Struthio camelus: one gene and its partners. The protein of the gene in region 2 purifies or fractionates together with the protein of the main gene of each other region. This does not show direct contact. Links are inferred from orthologs where the notes say so. Each region holds a gene or a part of one and is shown on either strand. Other genes may lie near its edges. The genes, in order: KIF3A, KIFAP3, KIF3B and KIF3C.

Region 1 (7,525 bases), on a different chromosome or scaffold from region 2:
TTAAGTGCTGTAATTAACATTTCAGCTGTCTGGAGGCTTGGAATGAAGAAAGTTGTTGGCTGTGTGTACACAGCGAAGGAAAGACCAAGCTTCCGAGCAGTTTTAAACACTTGTCCGTGTTGTGCAGTCAGTCAGGCTCTAACTGTGCTGAGGACCGCCTAGGCACTGGAGGACTGGTCTGAGGTGCGCCCTGCCCTCCCCTTGCACAGTGTGACCGAACCACCAAACCGAGCTGTTATTCCCTAATAACAGCCCATGCTCATTACTTCCCCCTCCAGAAAAGATCGAAGCCTCTGCTGCAGCATGCGTTGCGTCCAGACAGCCTCGGTGGGGGGAGAAACTGGCATTAGGAGCAGATTTAGATTTGCTCTTTTAAGTTTGTTTTTTGTTTGCTTGTTTTTTACAGCCTTTGAAGTCAGGTTTATGACACCCCCCCCACCCCCGGCATAATGCAAAATATATTCAATTTTTTTATTTCTTATATCTTATTTGAAGATGCATTCAGGAGAGAGGAAAGACTTTAATCTTGCTGCCGTTACAATGCATAGATGTCCGTGGCATGCATTTGAACATTAATGTAGGAGTAGCTGAAAGGGCTGAGCACCTGCACAGAACAGCTAACATTTACCACTAGTTTGCTTAATGTTAGTTTTCACATTATGCATTTTGCTATTTTGCAAATAAAAATACCTTATAAAAATAGCATTTCTACACTACTGCGAAAAAGGGACAAGGCTTTCAGGGCAGTTTTGTGCCTTGTTCCATGGATCAGAAGCACCTTACAGAAGCAACTGAGCATCACCGTTTCCACTGTACATGGAAGAACCTTAAGTGTTGTAGCTTCCTACAGTAAGTGACTGACTCACTTGAACAGCCAGGAATGGGACTGGTTTCTGTTAGCCCTCAGTAAATTCTCTCTCCTGCCATTTGAACGCATGGAAAGATGGAGAGAAATACAAAGCAGTAGAGCACAATTAAGTATGATGTGACATTTTTATTTATGGCTAAAACCCTTGATTCAGAGCCTGCTCTTACCTGCCTGCTCCACCAGAGTTCCCAAAACTGGCTGAGTCAAAACAAAATGCAAAGCATCTCTAAATCATGGTTTAAACGGAGCATAAGATGTAAAATGAGACAAAGACAGACCCTCCCCGCTTCTGTTCCTTAAGCTCAGTCTACGTAAGATGACTTTTGCATTCAGGTGGACTAGATGGCAGGACTAGCACTGCATCCCGCACAGTCCCTTAGGTGCTTCCAAAGAGGATGAATACCTTCAGGAAGAGATCCTGGAAAACTGGCACTTTCCAAATCCTAGCCTCTCTGGCTATGGCGTTTTCCAGGAAGAGGGCAAGTCTCAGGCTCTCTGAAGGTCCAGGGCACTTCATAGCAACTCTGTGAGCCAGTTTCCCAGGTGGGAGCCGCTGTCAAAACCAAGAAAAGAATTATTAGGCAATGCTAATAACACTAGCGGAGCCCCCTGAGCTAGCTCCGATTTCCTGGCGCGGTGCCTCCCCGAGGCTGAGCGCGACACCCAGAACAGCCATGCTGCTGCTCGTCGGGTTGCAGAGGAGGAAAGCGCAGTTCTGTCATCCGCTTCCCCGGGCGGGGCGGGCGGGGGGGGGGGGGGAGAAAACATGTCAGAGGGCCGAACAGCAGCGCACTCCTTCCTCCGGGGCTGCGCGGAGCCACCCCCGCCGCGGCAGCCGCTGTCTCTCAGCTCACTTCGCTTCCGACCTTCCGCTGCCCCTTTGCAGAGCCGTTGCCCGTCCTTACCCGGGCATGGGGGGGGCCTGGCCCGACCCGGTCCGGTCTGGCCTGGCCCGGCTCGGTTCGGTTCGGCCCGATCGGCGGCTGCGCGCGGCGGGGCCCGCCCCGACGGCCGCTTCCCCCAGTGGTGGCGGAGGAGGGCGGCGTGGCGGCGCTGCCCGAGCCGTGCCGTGCTGTGCCGTGCCATGCCGTGCCGAGCCGTGCCGGGCCGAAACCCGCTGAGCCGGGCCAAAACCTGCTGAGCCGGGCCGGGCCGAAACCCACCGAGCCGTGCCAAGCCGAGCCGAGCTGTGCTGTGCCGTGCCGTGCCGAGCCTCGCCTCACTGCGCCCTGCCGTGCCGAGCTGTGCCCCACCGTGCTGTGCCGAGTCAAGCCGAGCCGAGCCCCGCTGAGCCCCACCGCCGGCCGGGGCAGGAGCTGCCTCCGGGCCTGCCCGCGGGACGCGACAAGCCTCAGCGCCCGAGCTCGGTGCCCTCGTAGGATTAAGTCGCCCCAGGGAAAAAAAAAAAAAGGCCCAAGCGGTGGAAAAGTCCGTTTCCGCTTTTCAGCCCCATCGGGGGCATAGGGCGTTGCGGCCTCCCACCGCCTAACACCGGCGCGCCTGCCCTGGGAAAGGCCGGCGTTGCCCGCTCTCGCTTCATATCGTAAGGAATGGTTTTACGGTATTCACAGCTTTCCGGGGCTAAGCTGTTTGGTACTTCCAGCATAAACGTTGTCTCGCCCCTGGGGGTTCATCTCACCCATGAACGGTTCAGAGATCCTCTGTCGGCCTGTTAGGCCAAGTGGTGCGCGCCCCGGGATCGGGCTGAAGGTCTCACACAGTGAAAACTGTGGTATCCTTCAGCATGTTCCCCAAATCCACCCCTTCCCTAGCGTCAATTATTGCCTTGGCAAAAAAAAAAAAAAAAAAAAACACACTGCCTCTTCCTGGTATGGCCCTAGCCAAAATACCATTTCGCTCCACCCACGCAGCACCCCCATACCTGCCAGGAGCGATTCCAGCTCCTAAAAGGGCGTCTTTGTTCCTGCTTTATAGAGCACATCCACCGCCACCCCCCTCCTACCTCCAGTTCTGCCAGAGTCTTTGCATTTTGTGCCATTTTTGTTTCCTATCAGGCCTCTCCATCTTTCGTGACTGCTCTCCTCAGCTCTCCCCTTCGTTGCTAGGATTTTTTCAGGCAGCATTTTCTACAGGGAGCTGGTTCCCGTGTTTTATGTTAAATCTTTTCTTATTCCTAGAGCTTAGTCTGCCCACACATAACTCCCTGTTCTCTTGTCAGGCCTTTGGGTTATACATTTTTGGTGCTAAATGACTCTCTTAGTCTAGGAATCTTTGCATACAGTAAAGCACTGAGTAACATTGTAGCAACATATAAATAGTAAAGCAGCTATATTTTGCTTAATACCTTGTCCTGGAGCTTTCTGACTCACTTGTTGACACTTCAGCTGGGGATGAGGAAACGGCAGTCCTGTCACGACCGGCATGTTCCCAGCCCTGCGGTACAGGATGGTGTGTTCCTTGTGTCATATTAGGAGCCCTTCTAAAACCTCACATCAATCCTGTCCACATTCTTACTTCCGCCCATAGCCCACCAGCTAAAATACACTGCAATTAAACTGTTACAACCTTCAGTTTATTTCTGTACTTGATGCTTATTGCTGATGATCGGTTTGGCTTTGGGATGCCAGCTCTCTGCGTTTGGACTAGAGGCAGTGTGGAGAGGAGAGGGACGTGAGCGAAGCCCTGTGCCCTGTCACGAGAAGGATTTGGGGGTGCAGAAATAGCTAAGGGGTAGTAAGAAATACATTACAGAAAGGAGAAAAAGATATGAATTCACCCCCCCAAGCCCCATCAGCCCCCCAAGGGACCTGTCAGCCCCCCGAGCCCCGTCACCTGCCCCCAAGCCCCATCACCTCCCCCAGAGCCCTGTCAGCTCCCCAAGGGACCCGTTAGCTCCCCCCAAGGGCCCCGTCAGCTCCCCCAGAGCCCCGTCAGCCCCCCAAGGGCCCCATCACCTGCCCCAGAGCCCTGTCAGCCCCCCAAGGGACCTGTCACCTGCCCCAGAGACCCATCAGCCCCTCAAGGGCCCCGCCACCTCCCCCAGAGCCCCGTCAGCCCCCCAAGCCCCATCACCTCCCCCAGAGCCCCGTCAGCTCCCCAAGCCCCATCACCTCCCCCAGAGCCCCGTCAGCTCCCCAAGGGACCCGTTAGCTCCCCCCAAGCCCCGTCAGCCCCCCAAGGGCCCCGTCACCTCTCCCAGAGCCCTGTCAGCCCCCCAAGCGCCCCATCACCTGCCCCTGAGCCCCGTCAGCCCCCCAAGGGACCTGTCACCTGCCCCCGAGCCCCGTCAGCCCCCCAAGGGTCCCGTCAGCTCCCCCGAGCCCCGTCAGCCCCCCAAGGGTCCCGTCAGCTCCCCCGAGCCCTGTGAGTTCCCCCGAGCCCTGGGACTCAGGGGCGAGCGGAGAGGGTGGCGGGGGCCGCTCCCCCGCCGCCCCCGAGAAACGCCAACGCGCCGCAATTAGCGCCAGTGACTAATCACCCCGCGCCCCCCCCGCGGTGCCCATGGCGACGCGACGCGCCCCGCCGCGCCCCGCCCCGCCGCGGCAGCCCGGTCCCTCCCGCCTCCGCCATTGGCTGGGCCGCGGCACCAATGGCGGCGAGCGGGCAGAGCGGGCCCCTCCTTTGCCCGCCATCCATTGGCTGCGCGGCCTCCGCAGAGCGCGGGGATTGGCTGCGCCGCCGGGGCCGCTCGGGAAGGGCGCGGGCGCAGGCGCGTTGCCGTTATTGTCCGGTTGTGCCGCCCGGCGGGTGCCTCGCGCCCCGCGCCGCTGCCGCCATGCCGGTGAGCCCCGCCGCGGGGAGGGGGGGGGGGAGCGGGCCCGACCCGGCCTGGCGCCGCCCCGGCGGGCGATGGCGGCGGCCCCGGAGCAGGCCGCGAGGGCTGGGCTCGCCTCACCTCACGGAGGGCCCCACCGTCATCCCAGAGCGGGGTTTTTTTTGGGGGGGGGGGGCAGTCCCGTTTGGGGGGCTGTCGAGGCGGGGGGGGGGGAGCCTCTGTCCGGCTCTGGCGGCCGCTCCCGCCCCTCCGCCGCGGCGGCCTCGGGCGGCGTCTCAGGGCCGCGCCGGTGCGGCCAGGCAGAGCGGGCCCCGCGGGCGGAGCGGGCGGCTCACCGTGACTCACCCGCTGCTTCGGGAACCTCGCTGGCTCCGGTGTGGAGGAGAGCGAGGGGCTGCGGGGTCCCCCCGCGGCGGCTCTCCGCCTCTGCCAGCCCGGAAACGCTTGGCTGTAGTGGCTGGGGCCAAAGGAGAGGTGTTTTAATAGTGTCTTGGGCTTCGCCAGGTGAAGTGCGTTGTGTGTGTGTTTAATCAGGAGAAACATCTGACATCAGACTAATTCATGGTGTCTTGGAGCTGATGTTTATAGCTACTTTGTGAAAGAATTTCACGGGTGAATTTCTTTGTGGAAGAACTTGATATATCCATATCTATCTCTCTAGATCTATATATGTATATAGAGAGAGATATATAGGTTTTTTTTTTAATTCACTGTTTGAATTTCCCAAGTGGTTAAACTTAAAATTCAACAAACACCCTAAAGCTTATAAGTTAATTGAATTACTTTCAGCCAATACTTATTGGCATCTTCCATCTTCTGAGGTGAGAGAACATGAACAGTATTAATCTAGAAGAATGGCACAAATGCACCTACTTCTAGCAAACTGCTTGCGGGTTGTTGGTGAGCAGGAAGTTATTCCCTGAAGAAATTCATAAATGTTCTTGAATGTGAAATTATAAAGCCTTATGTGATACTGTTTCCATGTTAATGGACAGAAGAAGGTTACATTAACTAAATAACCAAGCATTGTTCTCTCTGATTTAATTATAAACCAGTTCTGTTTTAAGTCCCTAAATCCATGATTTTTTAGGTGATGCGTGCGTCTACTTAGGTTGACCTAACGCTGTGTGTGCTTGAACACACAGGTAAGTCAAATGCAGTGCTAGGTGTGACTTTGTGTGTGTATGTTTTTAATAACTGTAGATCAACAAGCCTGAGAAGCTGGACAAGCCAGAGAGCTGTGATAACGTGAAGGTTGTTGTCCGATGCCGGCCTCTGAACGAACGAGAGAAAGCTACAGGCTACAAGATGGCAGTCAACGTAGATGAAATGAGAGGAACTATAACTGTTCATAAAACAGACTCATCCAATGAGCCTCCCAAGACGTTTACGTTTGACACTGTTTTTGGACCAGAGAGTAAACAGCTAGATGTCTATAACTTAACCGCAAGACCTATTATTGACTCTGTCCTAGAAGGATACAATGGTAAGTCCTGTGTTGTTTTAAGATGAAAATCCTGCCTTGTATTCTTTCTGTTATTAGTGTTCCTGCTGATCTTATTGGGAATTTCCCCATGCGAAGGCTGTAGCTCTGTGTTGTTTCTGTTATGGCCTCAGTAACTTAAAATAGCTTGACTGCTGAAGGTACTTGCAGGTCTGCGCCCACAGAGGTTGTACATGCTGTAATTGTTAACAGTGGGAGATCAGTGATGAGCGAGACTCGGCCAAGGTCAACTTGCTGTGTTTTTTCATTTTGTGTCTTCTGTTTGGAAAAGATACAGGTTTTATGTTTATTTTCAGTTTTCTCGGGGGCACTTCACTATTAAAATCTCAGTAGCCAAGCAGTTGCTGTTGTCATGCAATAACTAGGTATGCATGCCAGACTCGTACGTATAATTGATGCACGTTTTTCTCTAAGCTTTGCAGTTTTAAACTAAGATGACTAGATAGATACACCTGCTCTACCCCACAAATGATCAGTTGTTTATCACCACTGGGAAGAGTGTGACCGCTTTGTGTGTGTGTTTCGGTTTTGTATGTAAATGTACTTTCTAAGGGAAAGCAGATGATAAGGAAGTAAAATACTGCTTTTCATAACAGTATGCTATAAGCAACAATAAGTTACAAAATGTTTAAAGGTTTGTGTAAGATACATAATCTGCCCTTGTACTAGCATGCCCAGGTTTCAGCTGATGTAAAATTCAGCTTCTCTGAACCATAAATGCCTGTGCTTCATGAGCTGTATTTAAACTTGACACTCAAAAGAGAAATCTGCTTAGTTTTCAGCAGTGTTAGGCCAAATTTAAGAAGCAGTGTGTTGCTGGAGTACTTGGGCCTGGAATCTCAGTAGATTTCCTTAATGTCTTCCTACGCAGGTTGACTTTCTAGTCTGAATTGTAGCTGCACTTGCAGGTTCAGAACTGGTCTGCATTATAGAAGCCTCACATTGTGTCCACTGTGGCTTAATGTACTAGAAATAGTTGGCTTTGCAGTTGGCATATAAGGATCCTCCTCTAATTGAGTGTGTTATTAATTGGGCTTGCCTTAATTATGTGGGTGTAAAACCTAAGTGTACTTGCCCTCTATTCTTCAGTCACTCTGTACAGTTTTAAGAGGAGCAGACTTTGCTTCTTTCAAATGTCTTGCAGGCTGGAAAAGCAGTGACTCAGCCGTCTTTGCTGTGGTTGTCCAGCATTTTTTTTCTCCTAGCCTTTGTACGGTATCTACTAGAGAAGCTGCAAAGCTTTTAGCCCTATAAAACTAGAGGTTTAAGTGGTATCAGGCAAAGCAGTGATGAAGAAAAACAGCAAAATCAGCAGCCGCTAAGCGTTTTATATATACTTATATATATATATATATATATATATATATATTTTTTTTTTTTTGTATTTCAGGCACTATTTTTGCATATGGGCAGACTG
Region 2 (7,409 bases):
TGGGGTCTAGGGAGGGTGAGGGGGCTGGGTGAGGGGTTGTGGGGTGAGGGGGCTGCGTGGGTGGTTGTGGGGTCTAGGGAGGGTGAGGGGGCTGGGTGAGGGGTTGTGGGGTCTAGGGAGGGTGAGGGGGCTGGGTGAGGGGTTGGGGGGTGAGGGGGCTGGGTGAGGGGTTGTGGGGTCTAGGGAGGGTGAGGGGGCTGGGTGAGGGGTTGGGGGGTGAGGGGGCTGGGTGAGGGGTTGTGGGGTCTAGGGAGGGTGAGGGGGCTGGGTGAGGGGTTGGGGGGTGAGGGGGCTGGAGTGGCAGCAAGCAGAGGAGTGATGGTTGTTTGAGGTGAGCTGGTTTGAAGGAGGTGTTAGAGCATGGCAGGCTGGGGTGGGGAAAATGGGATGGTTTGGGAGTTGGGGTGGGAAAACTGAGGAGAGGGAGGGTGAGTGCTGGGAGAAGGGAGCTGGGATATGAGCCTGTGTAGAAGCAGATTGAAAGGAAAGGATAGGATGGTAAGGTGGGGGATTGGAGAGGTGTGTGTACAGGGTGTGATAAGAAGTGAGAGGGTAGGTTGTGCTTAGAGGAGTAGAGCAGGGTATGATGGGGGGGTTAAAAGTGGTCAGGTGCCAGAGAAGAGTGGCAGGAGTAAGGAATAGCTAGGGCTGGATTGTGGTTGTGGATGGGGAGGGTGGTTAGATGTGGGCAGCAAGGATAAGAAAGGGGAGTAGGTAGAAAGATGGTGCTGAGGGGGTATGGAAACAAAGTGGGTAATCAGGGTTTGATGTGATGAATGAACGGTGCCTTTCTCTGTCTACTTGGCAGTGAAGCCAGTCAACCTACACAATAGTGTGTGTGCAGGCGACCATTGGGTCTCCATCCTTTGTTTCAGAGCAAAACTGTTAGCAATCCCAAAAGATGTCAGGCCATCCAGGCCTCTGCTAAGACTTGATATGTGAACAGTGTCACTTTTTCCCATCATGTGGGTGATTTTACCCATCTCATCTTGAATGTAGTGGAGTTACTGGTCCTTCTCTTTCTCCTTGTTTTACACATTATCCAGTAGTATTTGCAGAACTTGCTGCTTCGGTGTTTTGGTTCCTCCCCCCCCCCCCCCCCCCATCCCACGTATCCTGCATATTAAAGCCCTTCTTCAGAAACAATCAAAAAACTCTCGATAATGTTTGTTGGACGTTAGTTCTGTCACGTAAATATGATAGCAGGTGAAAATCAAATGGACACCTGTAATTAAAGAAATAGTTGTCATTTCAGAGCGGTACCTGTTTTTGGCCTTACGTGTTCTGTTTGTGGCATCTTATGTGATCTTGGAGGAATCCTTTTTTATTTTGTAGTCTCCACTGCAACAAGCCTCCTTTTCTGTCCTGGAGGGAGCGCAAACTGAGAAACTGCTGATGCTGTGCTGATATTTAACATGACTAAGCTTATGTGTAAGACTGGTGCTCCTCTGATCCCTATTTCCCTTTGTCATCCTCCACGAGCAGTCCCCCTCCCACTACATCAGACTTGCTAGGGTTGTTACTGGATTTTCAGTCTTACCACATGCACAATTTGTGCCACTTGTTCTTAGTATAGTTTGCTTTGGCTGTTTCCCCCTAAAATAATTAGTTAATAAAGGGCATTCACACACCAGGTTTGGTTGTGTGAGAGCTCAGCTGATGCAGCTTTTGTCTGTAGAAAAGGCCTTGCCCTTTTAAATCTTTAATAGTGCAAAATTCTTCTCAGCAGAGCAGGCAGTGAAGTGAGAGGCCAGACTCTGTGAGAGCTGCTCAGTGCGTTGCTGCTTCTACCAGTTATAAGGATGTCTATATTTTCAAAGGAAAACATTGTTCCTTTTATTCCTATATTCATATAGGAATAAATATTATTCCTGTTATTCATATTGATGAAGTAAGTCTTCAAAAACGCAAGATGGATAGTATTCAATACAGTAAATGTTGCTTGTTTACAGGGGAGAGGGAATGGCACTTGCTTTGTGTAAAGAAAGAATTTCTTTTCTTTGTGACACTGGTAATTTGAATGTAGTATCCTCCAAATGGAGATAATGGCTGAATGCATTGTACGGTGCGTTTCAGTGTAGGTCTTCAAGCAGTTCACAAGGTTACATTCTTCAGAGGAGGAACTTGAATGTGGATTTATTAGTGAATCCCTCAGCCCGGATGTAGCTCAGATAGGGAGGGCGGATGTTGGTTAGGTTCTGTGAGAGGACAGAAAATCTCTGCAGCTGAAGGTTTTTCAACTATCCCATCTGTTTCTCTTAAGGAAAAAAACACAGGAAATGCGAAAACTGTTTAAGCAGTCTTAGCCTGAGGTTCTGCTGGTAGCTAAGCTGATCAGTGGTATACTGCTGCCAAAAGGAGGAGGTCTCACTCCTTCCTCCTTATCCCTGCTTGTCGACAGGAAGTGTTATTCCCTTTCTATAGATGCATTAATTCAGTAATGCATCAAAAAGTTCCCTCTGCCCGAAATATGAAGTGCTTTCTGCTGAACTGCTGAAAGTAGCTGTGAAAGGGTTTGACAAGCACTGATGCTGATACGAAGTGACTGGCAGAAGCAGGGAAAACATAGGACGATCAAATCCTTTTGGAATTGATGAGCTGTTAGTTCAGCTTAGTGCTTGTTAAAAATGTACCCAAATCTTTCAGGCCCGTTCTTCCTCCCCTCTCCCCCTTCCTTTCCTGCATATTTATAAATATTTTCAAGCTGTAACTTAACAGGGGTTTGACTTCCAGGAAGAACATTCATGGTTAGGCTCTTCTGGTAGTTGTAAATATGGGAGAAATGGATTTGGGGAAGAGGGGAGAAAGATGATTTCTTTTGAAGTGGATTCCCGATAAGCTTTCTGCTGTGCTAGGCCAGACCTTGTGAAGCTTTTGTATGAAAACAAATAACGGTCTGAAATGAAGAATCTGTTTCAAAGTACTGTTAAAAGAAAAAAGAAGTATCTTCAAAAAAAAAACCTAAGTGATAAATGGGGTTCTGCTCCAATCTCACTAAGGAGGACACTTGCTTTTTAGCAGTGGGCAAGCAATATTTGTTTACTCTGTAGCTTTTTTAAGTCTTTGTGAGGCTGGTAGTTGGACTAGACTCTTAATTTCTTGCAGCATACCATTCTGTGGTTCGTGGGGGGTTTGGGGCAGCAGTGAGTATCTCAAGAAAAAGCTGATTTTTGAAGCTGCGTCTCTGCCTACCAGAAATCAGCCACCATAGTAGCTGGGTGGACAGAGGCATGTATTCCAATAGTGTTCTAAAGAGGGTGGTTACACTGAAGGCTGCATTTAAATTTACTAGCATTTCCAGCTCTGTGAGGCTGACCTAGGAAGTTTCCCCTGATCTAATTGAGTCCGTGCCACAGCTAGACTTATGTGCCACTTAAGTGAGCTGCCATCTCACTTATGCTGATGCAACTACTTGGGAAGCCATGAAGCTACCTGTAAATCTGGTTATTGAAGTGATCTGCTTGAAACAAACAAAAAATAGCTCTAGAGAGTTACTTTTAACCTGCAGTGTTTTAGCAGCCTGGTTTATGGGATGGCTGTGCAAACGCTATTGGCAGTACTAAGTGGGGAAGGAGCAAGTGTCAGCTTTACCACCAAAGACAGAATTGTGCAACTGTGGATGTGGTTCCACCATCACTTTAAAGTAACACAGGAATGAGGTATAGCCTCATGGCTTTCTTGTCCCTGCCTGTGCAGTCTTGACACGGCGCTTGTGCTGGTGCAAGGGTTTGCATGGCAGGCTGGGTCGAGGGGCTGTTGTAGCTCACTGTGCCGCCATGGAGTTGCTGGCACAGAGGAGGAGAGAGCAGAAGAGGCCCTTTTGGCAGTGAGGAACCCAGAGTGCTTTCCTAGAGAATGCTTTTCCCAAAATATCTGTAGGTATAATAAAGCAGATAGATATGCTTGATCTATCTCTCTTGGTGTCAGCTGTTGATCTGGAAATTCCCCAAGCCCAGTAACAAGCTATTAGATGTGTTCCTTCCTGAGATAACAGAGGTTCAGGCTATGGATGAAGAACAGTAGTGAAAAGGTTTGTGCTTGAGGAGAGAATAGTGAATTTGAATTCAAATGCTTTGTAATTCATTCTTAGTAGATTTTTAACATCTAAGATTTAGCTAAGCCTACCAACAGACTCTTTGGGGAAAGCTTCCCATTTGTGCATGGCAGTACTTCTACCACTAGAATTGTGCCACTATCAGAAGATTCTGCAGCATTGGTGCTGTAACATGGAATCAACTGGGAAATTCACTTCCCTTGTGAAATGCATCTTTTTCCTGATCATAGTTCCTCAAGGGAGCTGGAAGACGTGGAACCCAAGATATATCCTCCTCCTCCTCCTCCTTTATTTTGCTTCTGTGACTAAGACCTGACCAATGGCTTGGGTGTTTTTGTGCATGCTAGAGGCAATGCTCAAGGATTGAGCTTCTCTGCAGCTGTCTGAAATGAAGGACTGTAACACCATACTGTGGCAGAAGGCTCAAGCCTGGGTTTGTGATCTGAAAAGAAGAGGATACAGGTTGCTGCTATTGATCTGTATTCTGACATGTTTTTTCAGCTTTTAATTTAATCAGTAATTTATTTGATTTTTGTCTTTTTTTTTCTTTTTTCTTTCTGGCAGGAAGGTAAAAGGAGGCAACATAGATGTACATCCGTCTGAGAAAGCCCTCATTGTCCACTATGAAGTGGAAGCAACAATTCTTGGGGAGATGGGAGACCCCATGCTGGGGGAACGTAAGGAATGTCAGAAAATGTAAGGTTGTAGCAAGTTTGGATAGCTTTTTCTGTTTTTAACAGAGTCATAAATTTTATAACTCAAAGCGTGAACAGCCTGTAAGGAATAATAGGTTCTAATCTTTATAAAACTTAGTGCTAGATTAATGGAAGAATTAGAAGCCAGGGAGTAACATGTGCCTAGGACAGTTAACACCTGAAACGCATGCTGTAAACTGATTTTTCATCTGTGTACTTTAAGATGTTTTGTAAAGAAAAGCAATTACTCCCATTTTACGTGCTGGGAACTTGAGGTTCAGAGACATGAAGTGGTTGGTTCCTGCTCAGGTGGTGGTGAACATCAGAGCAAGTAATGCTACTGAACAGCAAGTAATGCTTCTGACAGCCTTGTGCTGTAGCTTTCAGCCTGCTTACCTCCTGTTGTTTCAATCTGTCACCCATGCTAGTGATTTCACTACAGCATTCCATTTTAGATTTGCTTGGCATTTTTCTTTTAAGAACACTGAAGCATTCCCCACTGTGAAAGTCCAGAAAGCTATTATAAACTGAATTTCTGAACTACAAGCTAAAAGTTTGGACTTCTTTTTTTTTTCCTTGCTCGCTCTCTAGTGATTTTTTTTTTTTTTAATTTGAGCTGCCTGTGTGCGTGTAGGAAGAGTAAGAGGGGAAGAGGAAGAGAACCCTTAAATTGTCTCAAATTTTTGGATGCATCAGAAACTTTCCTCTGGTTTTGGATGAACTGGCATAACTTGCATCAGCAACGTGGTGGAGTTCCTTTTTGCTCTATCCTGACATTAATGGCCACAGAGATTTTTTTTTGTTTTCTCTCCTTGTTGCATGTGGCTTCTTTACTGCAGCGCTCAGAATTATGGGAGACTCCTGACATTGCATCTGCAGGCACTACAAAAGAAATTTCCTTGTGCAGTTAATTTCCTCAGCTGTTTCTCATTTGGAGGTTTTTTTGGGTGCTGTGCTCCTTTGCAATCCTTAGCACTTTTTTGGGAACATGTCACAATACGTTATTGGCTGCTATATCTGTGATGGTTATAAGGGATCTGTTCATATAGCCAAATTTAGCGTTGTTGACTGTCGGCTGAAAAAGAATTCCACCCTGTCAAATCTGTTTGATGGTTACTTGCCTTTTGGAGTTGTAGAGAGTCAACACTTTGACGTTATCTTTCCAAATCATAGCACAGGCTTTGGAAATAACCGGTTCATTTTTATCTTAACAAATGCATGACTGCATAAACTTAAATTGAAGGTTGAAAGTAGAAAAATCTAGCAATTGAGATGAAATCTCTCTGATTATGTTTCAGCATTCGTCTGAAGAGTCTCAATGCAAATACAGACATTGCTTCCCTGGCTCGGAAGGTAGTTGAAGAATGCAAACTCATTCACCCCTCTAGACTTGCAGAGGTAGAACAGCTGTTATACTATCTACAAAATCGCAGAGATGCTTCAGCAGGGAAAGGTAAATAATACAGGAACGAAGTAGCCTGGGGATTGGGGTGCTTCAGTGTTACCAGCAAGCACAGTCTGAGGTTTCTTTTAGTTGAGGTCCTACCTTGCTTGACATACGCCTTCTCCAGAGACGTGACAACGGGGAAGGTATATGGCTAAACTGCCCTTGGAAAAAACTTCCAATATTGGGGAACGAGGGGTAGAGTTATCATTTTAACAATCAAAGTATAGTTTTTGGTTAGTCAGACTTAGTACTGATGCTTCTTGTTGGCTGCCCAGTGTTTCAGCAGGATCTTGAAGGCAGAGATTCCGCTGTTTGGTGTAGCCTCTTTGTGTTACATCTGCTCTTGCAGTGATATCAAAAGACAGTAGTGTTAGGATCTTCCTGGAAGAACCTCAGTTGTCACTTGCTGCAAGGGGAGATATTGTTAGGCTGAATTCAAGCTCTCTGTAAAGCTGGAGCCAGGAGTTTCTGCTAAGCTTTGGTACAGTGGTAAAAACAGCTTGAGCGGATACGTTTGTCTACGTCATAACTTCCTGATGAACAAATTGGTGAGAACAATAATGTCTTGGTCTGATGCCAAGGGATCTTAATGGTGCTATGTGTGTTTTAAGTTCATCTTAAATATTTCGCTCAATGCTTAAATTTTTATCAATGGACCTGCGTTACCTTGTGGATAGCAAGGTTTCCTGCAGTCATGAAATACTAAGCTCTATTCTCAGGCTGGATAAATTCTCTCAACTGAGAGAAGTTTAAAACAGAGATTCTTGTTATTGCTCTGGGTGTTTTACCCTTTTTTAATCCTGTGTATATGTGTCTTAGTATATCACAGGACGGATTTGATTTTGCTTGAACGCTGTAGCAAAGCAGTTAAGGTATCTCACTGTACAAGTGAGTATGTTTTATTCTTGCACTAAGAATTGTTGCGGTCTGCCTCCCCAGCTAAGTGGGCTATAACTGATCATTTGGACTGAGGTGTCAAAGGCATCTGAGGGTTTATTTTGCTCCCTATGTGCTGTTAGCTTCAGAAACAGACTCCTTAGCTGTGTTAGTCTAAGGGGTCAGTATGTTAGTTTAAGGGGTCAGCTGGATGCAAGAGGGCTTTGACCTTGGTCTCTACCAGAACGTGTAATGTGACAATACTGGGTATGCTTTTATCTCTGAACATGCGTATCTTCAACTGTAGCCATGTCTTTTTCATTGTAGAAAAGAAAGA
Region 3 (7,017 bases), on a different chromosome or scaffold from region 2:
AGTGGCAGAGAACTTCAGGAGCACAGCTAGAGGACTGAGAAAGAAACCAGCACATTTCTACCCCAAAATCTCTACCATCAGTCTTCACTAAAAAGTTTAACGTCGAGGCAACGACTAAACATATTTAATAATGTGTTTGGAAACCTCAGGATAATCTTCAGAACTTCCTCGATGTCACGAGCGAAAACTACTCGCTCCCTTGTTATAACCACGGAAGCATTTGGTAGTTAAAGAGGAAGGTGCGGAAGGTGCATTGAGGTGACCACATTGGAGAACAGAAAGTGCTTTACCAGTCGCATAATGAATTCAGTCTACTGTAGGAATCTTGGATTGCCACTGAATAGGAAACAGAAATACATTTCCCTCCTGACTGGCAGCTCCAGATAAAGAGGACCTTATTGTCTGACCCACAAGGAATACGTATTTTAGAATATGAACGGAGAAAGAAAATATTTGAAACAGGGACAAGACTTGCAGAAGTACAAAAAGCAACTCTCCCTCTACTCATCGTGAGTAATTATAAATACATACAAATATATACTTATTCCATATTTACCTGAGATAATCGTACTGGTCCAAATACACAAGGGCCAGGTTTTTTTCAGATAAGCTTACATAACAAACGAGGCTTCACTTGCCTGCACTATTACGGTGAACGTTCGCATTGGCAAATACTCAAATTAGGCATGAGTTCTGAAAAGAGGAGCCTTTATTTATTATAGTAAGGTTAATATCCAAAATATTATTTAGATAAGGAGTACAGCTTTTTTAAGAGATGCTGGCTAGAATTAAACAAACACAGTTAACTTAAACTCCCAGTAGTCTGCTTTTTTTCAAGATTATTCACAGTCACCTGGAAGTTAAAAGAGAAATATCCAGCACGTGTCCTCTCTGCCAGCACTGGCAGAGGTATGTATTTAACAAGAATTACGATGTACGTGTATTCCCCGTTCCTTTGGGTATATCGCATTAATGTGAGCTTGATAACCTTTTGCCATTTTTCCCCATTTCACTTGCCAGTCTCTTTTCAAAGTCACAAAAAAACTCATTTCACCCCAATTTGGGCTATTTTCATAGCAACCTATCATGAAACATCTCCACTGTATTTAGCTACTGCCACAAACAGTTTACTGAAAGTATAACAAACTGTTTCTTCTCAGACTTACTTTATAAATCATATATTTGGGTAAGAAACAATTTAGTTTGTAGCATTTATATTGGCCAAAAAGATTGAACTGCATGGACCAGGTGGAAAAGGACTGCCTAGAATAGCTTGGAAATTAAGCGTACTACAGGTCACAGTACCATTTGTTCTTACGCTTTAGGCAAGGATTTTCTTTTGTGAAATTATTAAGTCTAAAGCAATCTGGATCAGTTCCCTAAGCATCTTAATCTGCTAGATTTCAAGGATGAGATGAACACACTTTAAAACGTATTCCAGTTGACCAAAAGGGGAAGACAGGCGGAAATCAAAGCATTTTCTTTTCTTTTCATGCAACACGAGACCATACCTGGAAAAATAAGCCGTGCCACAATTTGACTTCAAGTTAGTTTAAGCTCATCATCAGAAAGTTTCAGACGTTAGAGCTGGTTAGCTCAGCCGGCCGGTGCCTGCGGAGCACCCGGCTCTCAGGAGGCCTCTAGCGCTACTTACTCAGCCTCACGTTCAACCTCACACGGGCTGCAGTCCCGAGGCCGCTCCGCTTCCTGCTTTGAGCTTGAAGATCTGCTCAGGAAGATTTTCTTGGTAGGTCGCCTAAATTCTTACCTCCTATTTTTGTGTATATCTCCGGGTACTACTTAAACAATTCCATTGCTTTCTTGCTCTTTAAATCCTTCAGATATTGTGGGCTTGTTATGTCTTTGCTTAATTGCTTTGTCTTTTTCCCTTTATTCATAAGCCCATCACCTCTTCTTTGTTGTTGTTCTCTTCCAAACTCCCTCCAGTTTCTCCCTAGCACATCACCAAGGACTGAACAGGGTACTCCCAGTGCAATTGCCTGGGCTAGGCAGACGTTTGCCATCTCTCTGCCCACACCGCATCTTCTGCTACCCTGACACTGTAAGCCCTTATTTAATTTGTTGCCTGTAATCATCTTGGTTTGTTTCAGCATCGCTGCTTCTCGGATGCCACCCTCCCACAGAGAGGCCATAGAGTTACATAAACCCCAACCCCATGCGCGTTCGAGGTTGTCGTTTCAGTTCTGGTGCAAGTTCAGCTGCGCTTCGCCGGTCGGCTCACAGCTCTGACGCCCCGCGCAGCAACCGCGCGAAGCGCCAGCTCTTCGGTCGGCACCGCGGCCGCCTCGCCTGCCCAAGCGGGGAGCAGCACCCGCGGCTCGGGTGGAGGGCAGCGCGCGGGGCGACGGCAGCGGGTGTCGAGGCCGGCCGAGCCGGGAAGGGCCCCCGGCACAGCCGCCAGCCCCTCGCACGCTGCTGCCCTTCGCCGGCCACGCGTGGCTTACGGCTGGGCGCGAGCACGAGGGAACCGGCACCTCCCTCGGCACGCCCGGGGCCTCGCACCGGCCACGCAGCCGCCGCCCTCGCGCAGCCCCAGGGACACCCGCGCCCGCCGTGGGCCAGCACACGCGTGCGCCAACGGGGAAAAACACAATCCCATGGGCCGGCACACGCGTGTGCGCACGGGGCCACGCGTGCCCCCCGGGGCTGGCACACGCGCGTGCACGCGGGGACAGACGTGCCCCCCCCGGGCCGACACACGCGCCCCCGGCACACGCGCGTGCACGCGGGGACACGCGCCCTCGCCGGCGGGCACGCGCGTGTGCCCCGCCGCACAGGCCCGCGTAACGGGGCCGCCCCCCCCCCCCCGCGGCACACGCGTGGGCAAGGGCCCGCGCCGCCCCGCGCCTCCCCCCCGGCCCCGGGCGCAGCGAGGCCGGCGGCGCCCCGCGCAGGGGGCCGGGACTCACCTGCGCCGTCACCATGGAGCCCCCGCCCGGCCGCCTCGCTCCCGCCGCACCGGATACGGCGGGGCGGGCTCGGCCCGCCGCCCCCCCCGCGCACTTCCTTGGCAACGCGCGCGCCCGCCCCCAAGCCATCACTTCCTTAGCAACCGCCGCCCTGGCAACCGGCACACTTCCTTAGCGACCGGGCGGGGCTGGGCGCCGCCGCTTCCCTAGCAACGTGCCCCCCCCCCCCCCCCGATTCCCCGCACCCCGGTGCCCGGATGGAGCGGGCCGGGCCGGAGCGGGAAGCCGGACCGGACCGGGCCGGGGGTTGGGGCGGCGGAGGGGGGGTTCTTAACGCACCCCCCTCCCAGACGGGGCCGGACGGGCCGTCGCCGCCGAACGAGACGCAGCGCAGGCTGCTCCAGGCAAACCTTGGCGGTGGGGGGGGGGGGGGGGATTTCAGTCCAAGACTCCTGAACACAAAGCCGAGGTCCATTGTGCTTTACGGTTAAAAACATACCACACTTTCTTTATGTTTTCTCTTAATGCACAATATTCGCAGTAAGGTTTGGAAAGTCTTATCTCGCTTTGTGATCAAGGCAGCCCCGATGGCGTCGTTCAAGACCGTTACACTGAGAAAAACACTGATGAAGCTCGTGGAGACTTTGGTCACCTCCATCTTGCTTGGGAAAATCGCCATTTTGTGCCGATTCCCCACGTTCGCTCACCTTTATAGTGCCCTTGTTTGTTAGGCCTATGTGGCAAAGAGAGAAGAGGTGACCTTAGACGGCTGAACGTTTAATAGCTTCCTTGCAGGAGATAACCCGTCGTGGGTTTGAAATCTATTTGTTTGCCCCTGTTGGGAAGGAACTTTGTAAGAAAAAAATTGAATATGCATGATGACCAGCTGTGTATAAACTGGAGGCTGTATCGGGATGAGGGGTCTCTCCTGCGGGAGAGACCATTTTGCCCAGCAAAATAAACTCTCCGTAATCCTTGTGCTTGTTCTGCATGATTTGTCCACGATTGCCATGCCTGTGAAAAGAAGTAACTTAGGTGGTCCTATCAACATAGGATGTTTCTAAGATTCATGGCAACCCAAGTGGGATCATAGGCTGCCTGAGATGGGAAACCTTCAAGTGAAGATGCCTGCACTGGCATCTGGGCAAGTTCACCCTGGACGCACTTGTTTGGGGTTTTCTCATCCACTGGCATCGGAAAGAGTCGACATCACGGGGAACACACAGGGTGGGATCAAGCCAGGAACTCCTTTGGCAGACATTTGAAATAATTGGAAACATATAGATGGTACCAAGATCTTATCCAGGAAGCGTGTGGTAAGGAGGAACGGCCAGCATATACCCAGGAGGGGATGCCCACTGCGGTACAGCCACCCGAGGGTTCCTTCGATCAGGCAAGATTAACATTTATGTGGCTCCATTTGGAAGACTGTCCACCAGGTCAAACGGATCGTTGGAATGTATGGGACAATTTGGCACCCGATTGTCCCAGAGGTCTGGCAGCAATGACCAGCTCTAAAAATTTTTCACAGGTGCCTCCCTCTTACTCTACTGATTTAACGTCATCTGTCTCTGTCACTTTGCCTGCTTTACCTGCACCTCCCTCTATTCCTGTTCAAGCTCTCATGATATAGCATGTAATGCCGAATCCAGATAGGCAGCCCAATGCAGCAGGAGTTCCCCCATCCCAGCTCATATCCGTGTATGTTCACCAGCCTTGGCCATGCCAGGATCTGGTGTTATGGCAGCAGCAGATGCTGAGATTGCATGATGACCCTGAGAAGGCTGCCTGAGTGATATCAAGAATTATTGCAGGATACCACCCCAACTGGGAAGATGGGCTGATACTTTTACAAGAGCTGTTTAAAACAGATGAAAGGGCAGTAATTCTTGAAAAAGATGCAGAATTAGGCCACCAGGCAGGGGGAGGCAGGCAGTCGTGGCTGCAGACAGATCCTGGGTGGGACATGAATGATGATCAGCAATGCCAAATATGTAGGACAGCTCAGGAGGAATTACTCTGGGCCCTAAGAGAACCTGGTCAAACAGGGGTGAATCGGACGACAGTTCAATAAACACGTCAGAAACCTGACAAACACCCCTCTGAATATGCGGCCCGTCTTCAACAGGCCCTATTACGACAAGGGGCATGACAGACTAGTTCCAATGAACCACTTATGGCTAACCGGTTCGTGAACTAAGCCGCTATAGACATCCAAAAATACTTCACTACATGCTCCTGAACGGCAAGGGAAACCCTCACAGAAGGGAATCTCTATAACTACTTTGGTGTTTAATGAGAGATGAAAGGAAGAAGAAAAAAAAAAAAGCAACAACAAAAAGGCGAAGAAGCTAGCTTACTTACAGCAGCTCTCCAAGCCCCACGTGGTATAATAAGAACAAGAGGAGGCAGGGGCAAGGCAGAGGACAGGGATTTCCCATATCCAGGGAGCGAGGAGCCCTGGGTCCGAGAGTAGACCTGGGTCCCACGTCATGAGATTGCTGCAACTACTGCTATCAACCCAGACACTGGAAAAGAAAATGTCTTGTAAGATCGAAGGGTACTTCGCTTCCTTACGGGAACAGTCCACTATAAACCCCACCAGGGGCTACTGGTGGATACCGGAGCCACCTACTAAACGTTGAATTGGCCTATCAGCCCGTCATCCAAAAAGACGGCAAGTATCCAAGGAATTGAAGGAAGACCCTAGATCCTACCTGTTACCAAGCCTCTTGAAATAGAGATTAGTAACCACTCCTTCTGGCATGAATTTCTAATAATGAGAGGAAGTCCAATTAATCTGTTGGGGAGAGACCTACTGTGTAAAACCCAAGCCATCATTAAATGTTGAGAGAGAGGGCTAACTTTACAATTGCCAGACGGGATGATGGCCATCTTTGAAGGAGCAGAACCCAAGATTCCCCCAAGTCTAAATGAGGTGCCCTCACAGTTGTGGACTACCTCCCCTACTGAGGTAGAGCTCCTAAAATCTGCTGAACCAGTACAAATTGAAGTCAAAACTAATAATTTCCTGGCTTTAAATCAATATCCATTGCCAAAAATGAAAGAAGGAATAAAGCCTATATTGACAAATTCCTTAAGCAAGGAATTCTTGTAGAACGTAGCTCACCGTGTAATACGCTCATACTCAATTATAAACCAAGCTAAGCTTGGTCCCGATGGAAGGCCTATTTATTGATTTGTGCAAGATTTATGGGCAATTAATCCAATTGTATTTGCACCCCATCCAGTAGTTCCAGATCCTATGCAAATAAGTACTGAAATACCTCATGATGCCAGATGCTTTACAGTTGTCGATCTCTCTGCTGCCTTTTTTAGTATTCCAGTTCATGCTGACTCACAATTTCTATTTGCCTTTACTTGGCAAGGCCATCAGCTAACTTGGACCAGACCTCCCCAGGGATTCACTGGGTCTCCAAACATTTTTTGCGTATTCTTAAAACTGATCTGCAGGATATAAGGTTACCTCGTCAGTCTGTGCTGGTATAATACATAGATGATCTTTTATTATTAGTGAGCCGCAATTGTGAATCCTGTATGAAAGACACAATACTTTTATTAAAGAAATTAGCTAGCAAAGGGCACCGAGCATCTCTTGCCAAACTCCAACTGTGTAAAGAGGTTGTTTATCTAGGAAATCGAATTAGGCTAGGAGAACAACAATTTATTAACAACAGGATAAAAATTATTAATAACTTACCTAAACCACAGCCAAAAAAAAAAAAACCACACAGATCAGAGCTTTTTTTGGGAACCGTGGGATTCAATTGCCAGTGGACGCTAGGGTTTGTAAGGTTGGTGAAATCACTGACTGAAGCCATCTGGGATGGTGGAATGGACTAAGGAATGAGACAACTCTTTTTTCTTATTAAAACAGGCAGTGGCATTGGCTCCAGCCCTAGCCCTGCCAGACTACTGTAAACCTTTTACCTTATTTGTTCACAAAAGATAAGAAGTGGCCAGTGGAGTTTTAACGCAAGTTACAGCAGGAAAATATCAAGCCGTGGCTTATTATTCAGTGCAATTAGACCCTGTAGCTCAAGGAACGATATCCTGCGCAGGGTCT
Region 4 (7,685 bases), on a different chromosome or scaffold from region 2:
CCCCACGGCCCCCCTGCGGCCCCTGCTCCAGCCCTATGGCTGTGGCACGGCCCCCACTGCAGACCCTGCCCCAGCCCCACGGCCCCCCTGCAGCCCCTGCTCCAGCCCCATGGCCACAGCGCCCCCCCCTGCTCCAGCCCCACGGCCGCAGCACAGCCCCCCTGCAGCCCCTGCTCCAGCCCCGGGACCATGGCATGGCCCCCCTGCAGCCCCTGCCCCAGCCCCACGGCCCCCCTGCAGCCCCTGCTCCAGCCCCACGGCTGCAGCACAGCCCCCCTGCAGCCCCTGCTCCAGCCCCACGGCCCCCCTGCAGCCCCTGCTCCAGCCCCATGGCCACAGCGCCCCCCTGCTCCAGCCCCACGGCCGCAGCACAGCCCCCCTGCAGCCCCTGCTCCAGCCCCGGGACCATGGCATGGCCCCCCTGCAGCCCCTGCTCCAGCCCCACGGCCGTGGCCCCCCTGCAGCCCCTGCTCCAGCCCCACGGCACGGCCCCCTCGCAGCCCGGCCCGGAGGATGCCGCTTGCGCGCTCCCACCCGCCCAGACCGCTGCGGGTAGGAGACTCGGGGCACCAGGAAGGATTGAGGATGGGGAGGAAGGAACCGGAGGGTCCCTGCAGAGCTGCCGGACCCTGCGGTGGGCTCGCAGCCCTGCGCGTGCCAGGCAGCGCCCTGCCGGCTGGGCCGGAGCCCCGGGACGGGCAGGAACGGCCAGGCGGTGCCCCGGGGGTCACCGCAGCCAGCGTCGATCTGCAGCATCATCCCAGCACTTCCCCCCCCCCCGCCCCCGGCAAGCTGCTTCGTCACGCAGAGCGGGGCAAGAGCTGAGCACGCCAAACTCATGCCGCCCGTGAGGGCCTCACCCTCTGCCAAATGGCTCCTCCCACCCTGCACCCCAGCAGCGGCCCACGCGGGTCGGCGCCTGAGAGCAGCCCCAGGCACCGCTCCGCAGGGGCGCGCGGCTCCGCTCGGGCGCCCTGCTTGAACCTCCTGCTGGAGCGCGGGTTCAGGCAGCCCGCTCGGGTCCGGAGGCAACGCAGGTCCCATCCCCACATCACTCACAAGCACCCGGTGCGGGGCAACACCTACCTTGTACTTGGTGGCCAGTAGCTCCGTGGCCTCCTGCTCCTTCCGCAGGTCCTCTATCATCTTCTCCTTTTCCTCCAGCAGCTTCTGCTTCTCCTCGCTCACCAGGCTGTGGTCATCCTGAATAGCTGCCTTCTCCTCTTCCAGCCTCTCCTTTTGCTCCTTCAAGTAATTCTCCATGTTCTTCTCCAGGCCGTCCTCATTGTCATCCTCCCCTTCGTTCTCCATGGCACTTTCTCCATCCATTGCTTTCTTCCTCCGGCTGCTCCTTCGCCTCTTCTTCCCCAGCATGCCTCGTTTCTCCAGCTGGGCTTTCAGCCGGACAATCTCTTCCTGAAACTCCCGTAGCAACGTGTCCTTGGGGTCCTCATTCACCCGGGGCTTGTTCTTGATGTTCTTGGCCCTGTTGGCAAACCTGAGGGTAGAGAGGCTCTCATCGTAGCTGTGAGAGGCTGGGCCCAAGGTGGCCACCATGATTGTCTTGGCGTTGCCCCCCAGGGAGTCCTGCAGCAGACGGGTCAGCTTGGAGTCTCTGTAGGGGATGTGTGTGCTTTTGCCATCGACTAGAGCTGAGATGACATTGCCCAGGGCAGAGAGGGAGAGGTTAATCTTGGACGCTTCCTTGGGGCGCTCTCCGTGGGCACCCATTTTGCTCTGGCGCTCGCTGCCAGCAAGGTCCACCAGGTTGAGCTTGCCCACCCGGATGTGCTCCTCACCATCCAGCCCCGTCTCACTGCACTCGATGGTGATGAGGAAGATGGCGTGGGAGCGGGAGCTGTACTCGTTCATGTTGGTGCTGCCCACTGACCGGGTCTGGCTCCCCAGGTTCATGACGTGCTCGATCTCTTTGACGTTTTTCGTCACGAAGGAGGAGAGGTCCTTGATGTAAACCCCCGTTTCGGGGTTCTCCTTCAACTCCAGCTTCTTGCTCTGGTCCTTCGCTAGGAGGTCTCTGATCTCCTCCTGGTAGATCTCCAAGTATGAGGCCCTCACAAGGTACTGCTGGTTCTGTGACCGGGAGATGTGGGTGAAGATGTGCTCGAAGGAAATGGGAATGATGCCCCTCTTTTCCGGCTCGGCCCAGGCCCCTTGCATAGTGTACGTCTTACCAGTCCCTGTCTGGCCGTAGGCAAAGATGGTCCCGTTGAACCCCTGCAGCACAGAGTCTATGAGCGGCCGGACCGTTTCGTCGTACAGGTCCGCCTGTTTGGAGCTGGCGTCGTAGACAGCGTCGAAGGTGAACGTTTTGGGCAGCTCCCCCGGCGAGGCCCTGGGGTTGCGGATGGTCACTTGACCCAGTTTCACGTCCATCTCCAAGATCCTCTCATACCCTGCTGCCTCCTCCTTCCTGTTCATGGGGCGGCAGCGGGCCACCACCTTCAGCGCCTCGCTGCTCCGGGGTTTGTTGGCCATCATGATGCTGCAGCTTCCCGACGGTCCCGCGCGTTAGGAGACAGACAATTGCCCCGGCCACTCCCCGGGAAACAGGCATGGATCAGAGTCCAGGGTTTTGTTTTCCTCCCGCTGGCGACGGCGGCCGCTGCAGTTATTTACCCCCGGCCTTTTCCCCCGGCGCGCTGCACAATGGACGCGATCAGGCGCGCTGCCCCGGCAGCATCGCGCGGTGGCGGGTGGCCCCCCCACGCCGGATCATCGCCGCCAGCTGGGCGTGGGGGCCCGGGCTGCGCCGCGGCCGCGGATAACGGAGCCGGGGGGCCGACGGAGTCGCGGGCAGGGGATGCTCCGGGTCGCCAGCCTCTCCTTCGCTCCCGCTAGTAGCCAGGGACCGGTGGGCGCGCGGGCCGGTGGGCATGGGCGGCGGGCCGGGGACGCCTCGCCTGCCCCTCCGGACACCCATTCATCGCGGCGCAGCCGCTGCGCCCTGCCTGCGTGCGAGAATGAGGGAGGAAAACAGAGGCGAGGGGAAGGGCTGCTGGGGAATGATGCTGCCTGGCGGGGGGCGGCGCGCCGCGGCTGATTTGCTGGGAAGCGATGCACACAGATACACACACGCACACGCACACGCACACTCCCCACCCGGGCTCGGCTTGGCTGCCAGCCCCGGCCCTCCGCCCCCCCCTCCCCGGCCGGCCGGAGTCAGCCAGGCACGCCGGGAGCTGTAGTCCTGCCTTTGTTGCTGCTCTGGCAGGATGCAGGATGCAGGATGCAGGATGCAGGATGGGATGCGGCATGGAGGATGCAGGACGTGAGAAGCGGGATGTGGGGTGCGGGCTACGGGATGCAGGATGCGAGCGGCAGCGACGAGGGCTATGGGCTGTGGGATGCAGGATCGGGGTGTGGGGATGCAGGATTTAAGGTGCGGGATATGGGATAGGGGTGTAGGACTGGGATGGGGTGGGGTATGCAGGATGTGAGATATGGGATACGGGATGCAGGATCAGGATGGCGATGGGGGGGTGCAGGGTGTGGGATGCAGGGTACAGGATGTAGGATACGGAATACGGGATATGGAATGCAAGACCACGATGCAGCCTGGGGGATGCACGGTGTGACGTGTGAGAGAGGGGATACAGGATAGAGGATGCATGGTCAGGATGGGGATGGGAGGTGCGGAGTGCAGGATGTGGGATAGAGAATGTGGGATACGGGATGCAGGATCAGGATGGGGATGGGGGGTGCAGGGTGTGGGATGCAGGGTACAGGATGTAGGATACGGAATATGGGATATGGGATGCAAGATCACGGTGCAGCATTGGGGATGCAGGGCGTAAGATGTGGGATATGGGCTATGGGATGCAGGATCAGGATACCGGATGTGGGGTGCAGGATGCAAGGTGCAGGGTACAGGGTGTGGGATACAGAATACGGGATATGGGATGCAAGATCACGATGCGGCATAGGGGATGCAGGGTGTGGGCTATACACTATGGGATGCAGGATCAGGATACTGGATATGGGATGCAGGGTGCAGGGTACAGGACTTGGGATACGGAATATGGGATATGGGATGCAAGATCACGATGCAGCCTGGGCAATGCAGAGTGTGAGATATGGGCTAAGGGATACAGGATATGGGATGCAGGATCAGGATGGGGATGGGAGGTGCAGGATGCAGGGTACAGGATGTGGAATAGAGAATACGGGATATGGGATGCAGGATCATGATGCAGCATAGGGGATGCAGGGTGTGGGCTACAGGCTATGGGATGCAGGATCAGGATCCTGGATGTGGGATGCAGGGTGCAGGATGTGGGATACAGAATACGGGATACGGGACGCAGACTCACGATGCAGCCTGGGGGATGCAGGCTGTGAGATGTGGGCTAAGGGATACAGGCTATGGGATGCAGGATCAGGATCCTGGATGTGGGGTGCAGGATGTGCAATGCATGATGCGGGAGGATGCAGGGCAGAGGATGCTCAAGGCAGGATGCACAATGCAGGGTGCGGGATGCGGGAGAGGGGATGCAGGACTCAGGCTGCGGGAGGCGCAGGGGCTGGGGCAGTTCTGCGCTGGCTGAAGCCCCCTTGACCACCTCTCCCTGCAGGATGCCCACAGAGGTTCGCTGTGCTCCCCTCCGCAGGTGCCCCGAAAGCGCTGCTGGGGCAGGGGGGCTCCGGGTGCAGCCCCCGCATTCGCAGGGGTCTTCCCTGCAAGGTGCTCGAGGACCTGGGGGGCACGAAAGGACGGTGCCCCCACAGCCGGCTGGGGCAGGGGGGCTCGAGGTAGCTGCCCTGTGCCCAGGGCACCCCAGGGCCCATCCCGGCAGGAATCAGCCCGGTCACAGGAGATGCAGCAAGCGGCTTTGGTGGGAGATTAAACGTTCCTGCGGCTCATCGAGTGGCAGCAGCCGCCTGTTCCTGCACCAGAGATTATCCCTTAATTAATTAATTAGGGTATTTACTAGCATAGTCAGGACTGCTTGGTGCCATCCAAGGGCTCCGTCTCCCGGAGGAGCCTTCGGGGGGGGACTGTCCCCGTCCCCGGTGACATGGCGCTGCCGGGAGAAGAGCCGTCCCCGTGCGTGCACCCCGGAAAGGGGCCCGCGGGGCTGGGGAGCCGCTTCTTCCCGCGGGCGTTAACGGGGCTGCCCGGTGGCAGGGGAGCTCCTTGCCCCATCCTGTCACCTGCACCGCGCTGGCCCGCTGTCCCCAAGGGCCCCAGGCCGGGTCATCGGCCTCCGCCTGGCAGCCCCCCAGTGGTGGTGCCCCTGCCCCATGTCCTCCACGGGCCCAGGGTTGGGGGGACGTGTAGGGCCGGAGCGCCAGGTAGGGGTGGGGTGACATGGAGCTGTGGGGTGACTTGTAGGGGACAGGGCTACACGTAGGGATGGGGTGACATAGAGGGACAGGGTGACAGGGAGGGATGGGATGAAATGGAAGAACAGGGTGACATGGAGCTAAGGGGTGACGTACAGACAGGTCTACATGTAGGGATGGGGTGAAATGGAGGGACAGGGTGACACGTAGGGATGAGGTGACAAGTTGGGGCAGGGTAACATGGAGGGACAGGGTGACATGGAGGGATGGGGTGACATGTAGGGACGCTCCCTCGCCCGCAGGTGTCAGCAGCAGACCGGAGCGCGTGGCCGTGCCCAAGGCTGTAGATGGCCGTCCCTGGCGCCTGGGCTGGCGCCTGCCCTCTAGGCGGCTCAGGCCGTCCTGGTCCTCGGGGCGTCCCCAGGGCGCCTGACACCTTGGGCCACCCGGCTGCACGGCTCCATCAGCCTTGGGGTGAGCATCGAGCTGGCACGGCCAGGCCCCTCCAAGCGCGGTGTCCGAACTGGCCGGTGGGGAGAAACCCGGGCCCCACGGGGCTGGATGCGTCCCAGGCCCTGGCTGCGGGTGGGCTTTGCTTGGGGGTCCCCAGGGAGCCAAGCACGGTTCCTCCTCAGGGACCCCCAGGCCCCCTCATCCTTCACCAGATGCGGCCCGTCCAGGTGTGCCCGGCTGGTTTCCACCCCCTGCTTGCTTCCCCACAGTCCCGCGGGGACGAGGCAAGGCCACCACCCGAGGCTGGTCTCCCTGGTGGCCTCAGGGACGTCCCAGGAAGAGCAGAACCCGCCTCGTGCCACATCCAAGCGGGTTTGTGCTGGGCCGCCCCACGCTCAGCCGTGGCCCCAGGGCGTGCCGTCCCCGAGCCCCTCACCCGGGCGCCGCAGGGCCAGCTGGGGGCTCCCCGCACCGGCGGCTGAGCTCCCGTGGGTGCTGGCTTGCAGCCACCTGAGTCATGGGGTGGAGAGCAGGGAGAGTCCTGGGAGCCGGCGCTGACTCACCGCCCTGACGCCCAAGTTTCTGAGGGCCTCGCCAAGCCCGCGGGGATGTTGCCCCCCCTTCCTCCTTCGTGGTCTCCTTGGACCTCCTTCATGGTCTCCTTGGCCGATCAGCCGCCCATTGGGTCAGCCCACGGCCCAGGGCGTCAGCAGGACAGCCGAGGCGGGGACGAGCATCCCCGCGGGGGACGCTGGACCAGCCGGCGCGGCGGGCTCAGGCGGGGATGCCGCCCGGGGACTAGATGCCGTTCTGCAGATGAAGCCTGTGCGCCCTGGTGGCCTCCCATGCTTGGAGTCCAGCCTGCTGCTCCTGCGTCAGCCCCCACAGTGGGGTCAAGGGTTTCCATTTCCTGCCGGCCCCGGGGCGCTGCTCGGCTGCTTCCCCTTTTCTCCCGGCGTAGGCTCATCCCCTTCCCTTGCCCCCATGTCCCATGGCCACCCCAGGACACTATGGCCATCTCTGGGACATCGCGGCCACCCCTGGGATGCCATGGCCACCCTAGGACACCATGGCCATCCCTAGGACATCTGGGCAGGTTTGCTGCTTGCTGGAGGCTCACATTCAGGATGTTGAGGAGAGGCTGAACAGACCCTGTGGCTCAACAGCGGGTTGCACAGCTGGTGTTGGCAACAGGGTTTTGGTTTCTGTGACCACGGGACCCCCTCTGAGGATCGATAACTGTTGGGAAGAGATGGGATCCCCTGACCTGATGGGGTGAAAGTATCTTTGCCAACAGGCTGGCCAAGCTGGTAAGAAAAGCTCCAGGCTGGTGTGATGGAGGGAGAGAGGATGACCACGGGTCAGGTAAGGAGGTGGCAAACGGGGTTAGCAAGCAAAGAGTCTGCAAAAGTGTGAAGAGAAGGGACCTCGTAATCACCAACAGGGCTGAAGTGGAGCCGGACAAATGTGGGTAAATAAGGGTGGGCCTATGGACAGTGTTATGGGGCAAACGCTTACACGCCTTCCAGGAAGGCAGCAGGCTGGGGTGCCTCTCCGAAGGGCCTGTGCACCAGTGCATACAGCACGGGGAACGGACAGGAGGAGTCAGAGGTCGGCGTGCAGCGGTGGGGCTACAATCTCGCTGTGATCGTGGAATCGAGGTGGGATAGCTCACACGACGGCAGCGCTGTCATGGAGGGACATAGGCTCTTTAGGAAGGACGAGCTGGAAGAGCGTTGCCGGGGGTTAAGGGAGATGATCCTGCCCCTCTACTCAGCCCTGGTGAGGCCTCACCTGGAGTACTGTGTTCCAGTGCTGGGCTCTCAAAACAAGAGAGACATGTTGCTCCTGGAGCGACTCCAGCAAAGGGCCACTAAGATGACAAAGGGACGGGAACATCTCTGCTATGAGGAGACACTGAGGGAGCT

The links.
Region 1: the proteins of KIFAP3 (region 2) and KIF3A purify together in Homo sapiens (co-immunoprecipitation; 9 studies listed by BioGRID and IntAct, counting the BioPlex papers as one, with this or other methods). This does not show direct contact. The link is inferred for Struthio camelus from reciprocal best matches to the Homo sapiens genes KIFAP3 and KIF3A.
Region 3: the proteins of KIFAP3 (region 2) and KIF3B purify together in Homo sapiens (co-immunoprecipitation; 7 studies listed by BioGRID and IntAct, counting the BioPlex papers as one, with this or other methods). This does not show direct contact. The link is inferred for Struthio camelus from reciprocal best matches to the Homo sapiens genes KIFAP3 and KIF3B.
Region 4: the proteins of KIFAP3 (region 2) and KIF3C purify together in Homo sapiens (co-immunoprecipitation; 3 studies listed by BioGRID and IntAct, counting the BioPlex papers as one, with this or other methods). This does not show direct contact. The link is inferred for Struthio camelus from reciprocal best matches to the Homo sapiens genes KIFAP3 and KIF3C.

The regions. Positions count from the first base shown.
Region 1 is NC_090954.1:2,345,077-2,352,601, forward strand, and holds the start of KIF3A (kinesin-like protein KIF3A), read left to right. Parts: upstream 1-4,517; 5' UTR 4,518-4,604; coding exon 4,605-4,610; intron 4,611-5,807; coding exon 5,808-6,090; intron 6,091-7,498; coding exon 7,499-7,525. Other genes in the region: CCNI2 (cyclin-I2), read right to left, coding at 1,272-1,421, 3,199-3,252. UniProt on the Homo sapiens protein: Microtubule-based anterograde translocator for membranous organelles. Plus end-directed microtubule sliding activity in vitro. Plays a role in primary cilia formation. Plays a role in centriole cohesion and subdistal appendage organization and function.
Region 2 is NC_090949.1:8,281,540-8,288,948, reverse strand, and holds the start of KIFAP3 (kinesin-associated protein 3), read left to right. Parts: upstream 1-4,406; 5' UTR 4,407-4,442; coding exon 4,443-4,516; intron 4,517-4,618; coding exon 4,619-4,750; intron 4,751-6,047; coding exon 6,048-6,202; intron 6,203-7,399; coding exon 7,400-7,409. UniProt on the Homo sapiens protein: Involved in tethering the chromosomes to the spindle pole and in chromosome movement. Binds to the tail domain of the KIF3A/KIF3B heterodimer to form a heterotrimeric KIF3 complex and may regulate the membrane binding of this complex.
Region 3 is NC_090959.1:18,682,344-18,689,360, reverse strand, and holds the start of KIF3B (kinesin-like protein KIF3B), read right to left. Parts: upstream 3,005-7,017; 5' UTR 2,931-3,004; intron 1-2,930. UniProt on the Homo sapiens protein: Microtubule-based molecular motor that transport intracellular cargos, such as vesicles, organelles and protein complexes. Uses ATP hydrolysis to generate force to bind and move along the microtubule. Plays a role in cilia formation.
Region 4 is NC_090944.1:1,704,709-1,712,393, forward strand, and holds the start of KIF3C (kinesin-like protein KIF3C), read right to left. Parts: upstream 3,009-7,685; 5' UTR 2,500-3,008; coding exon 1,087-2,499; intron 1-1,086.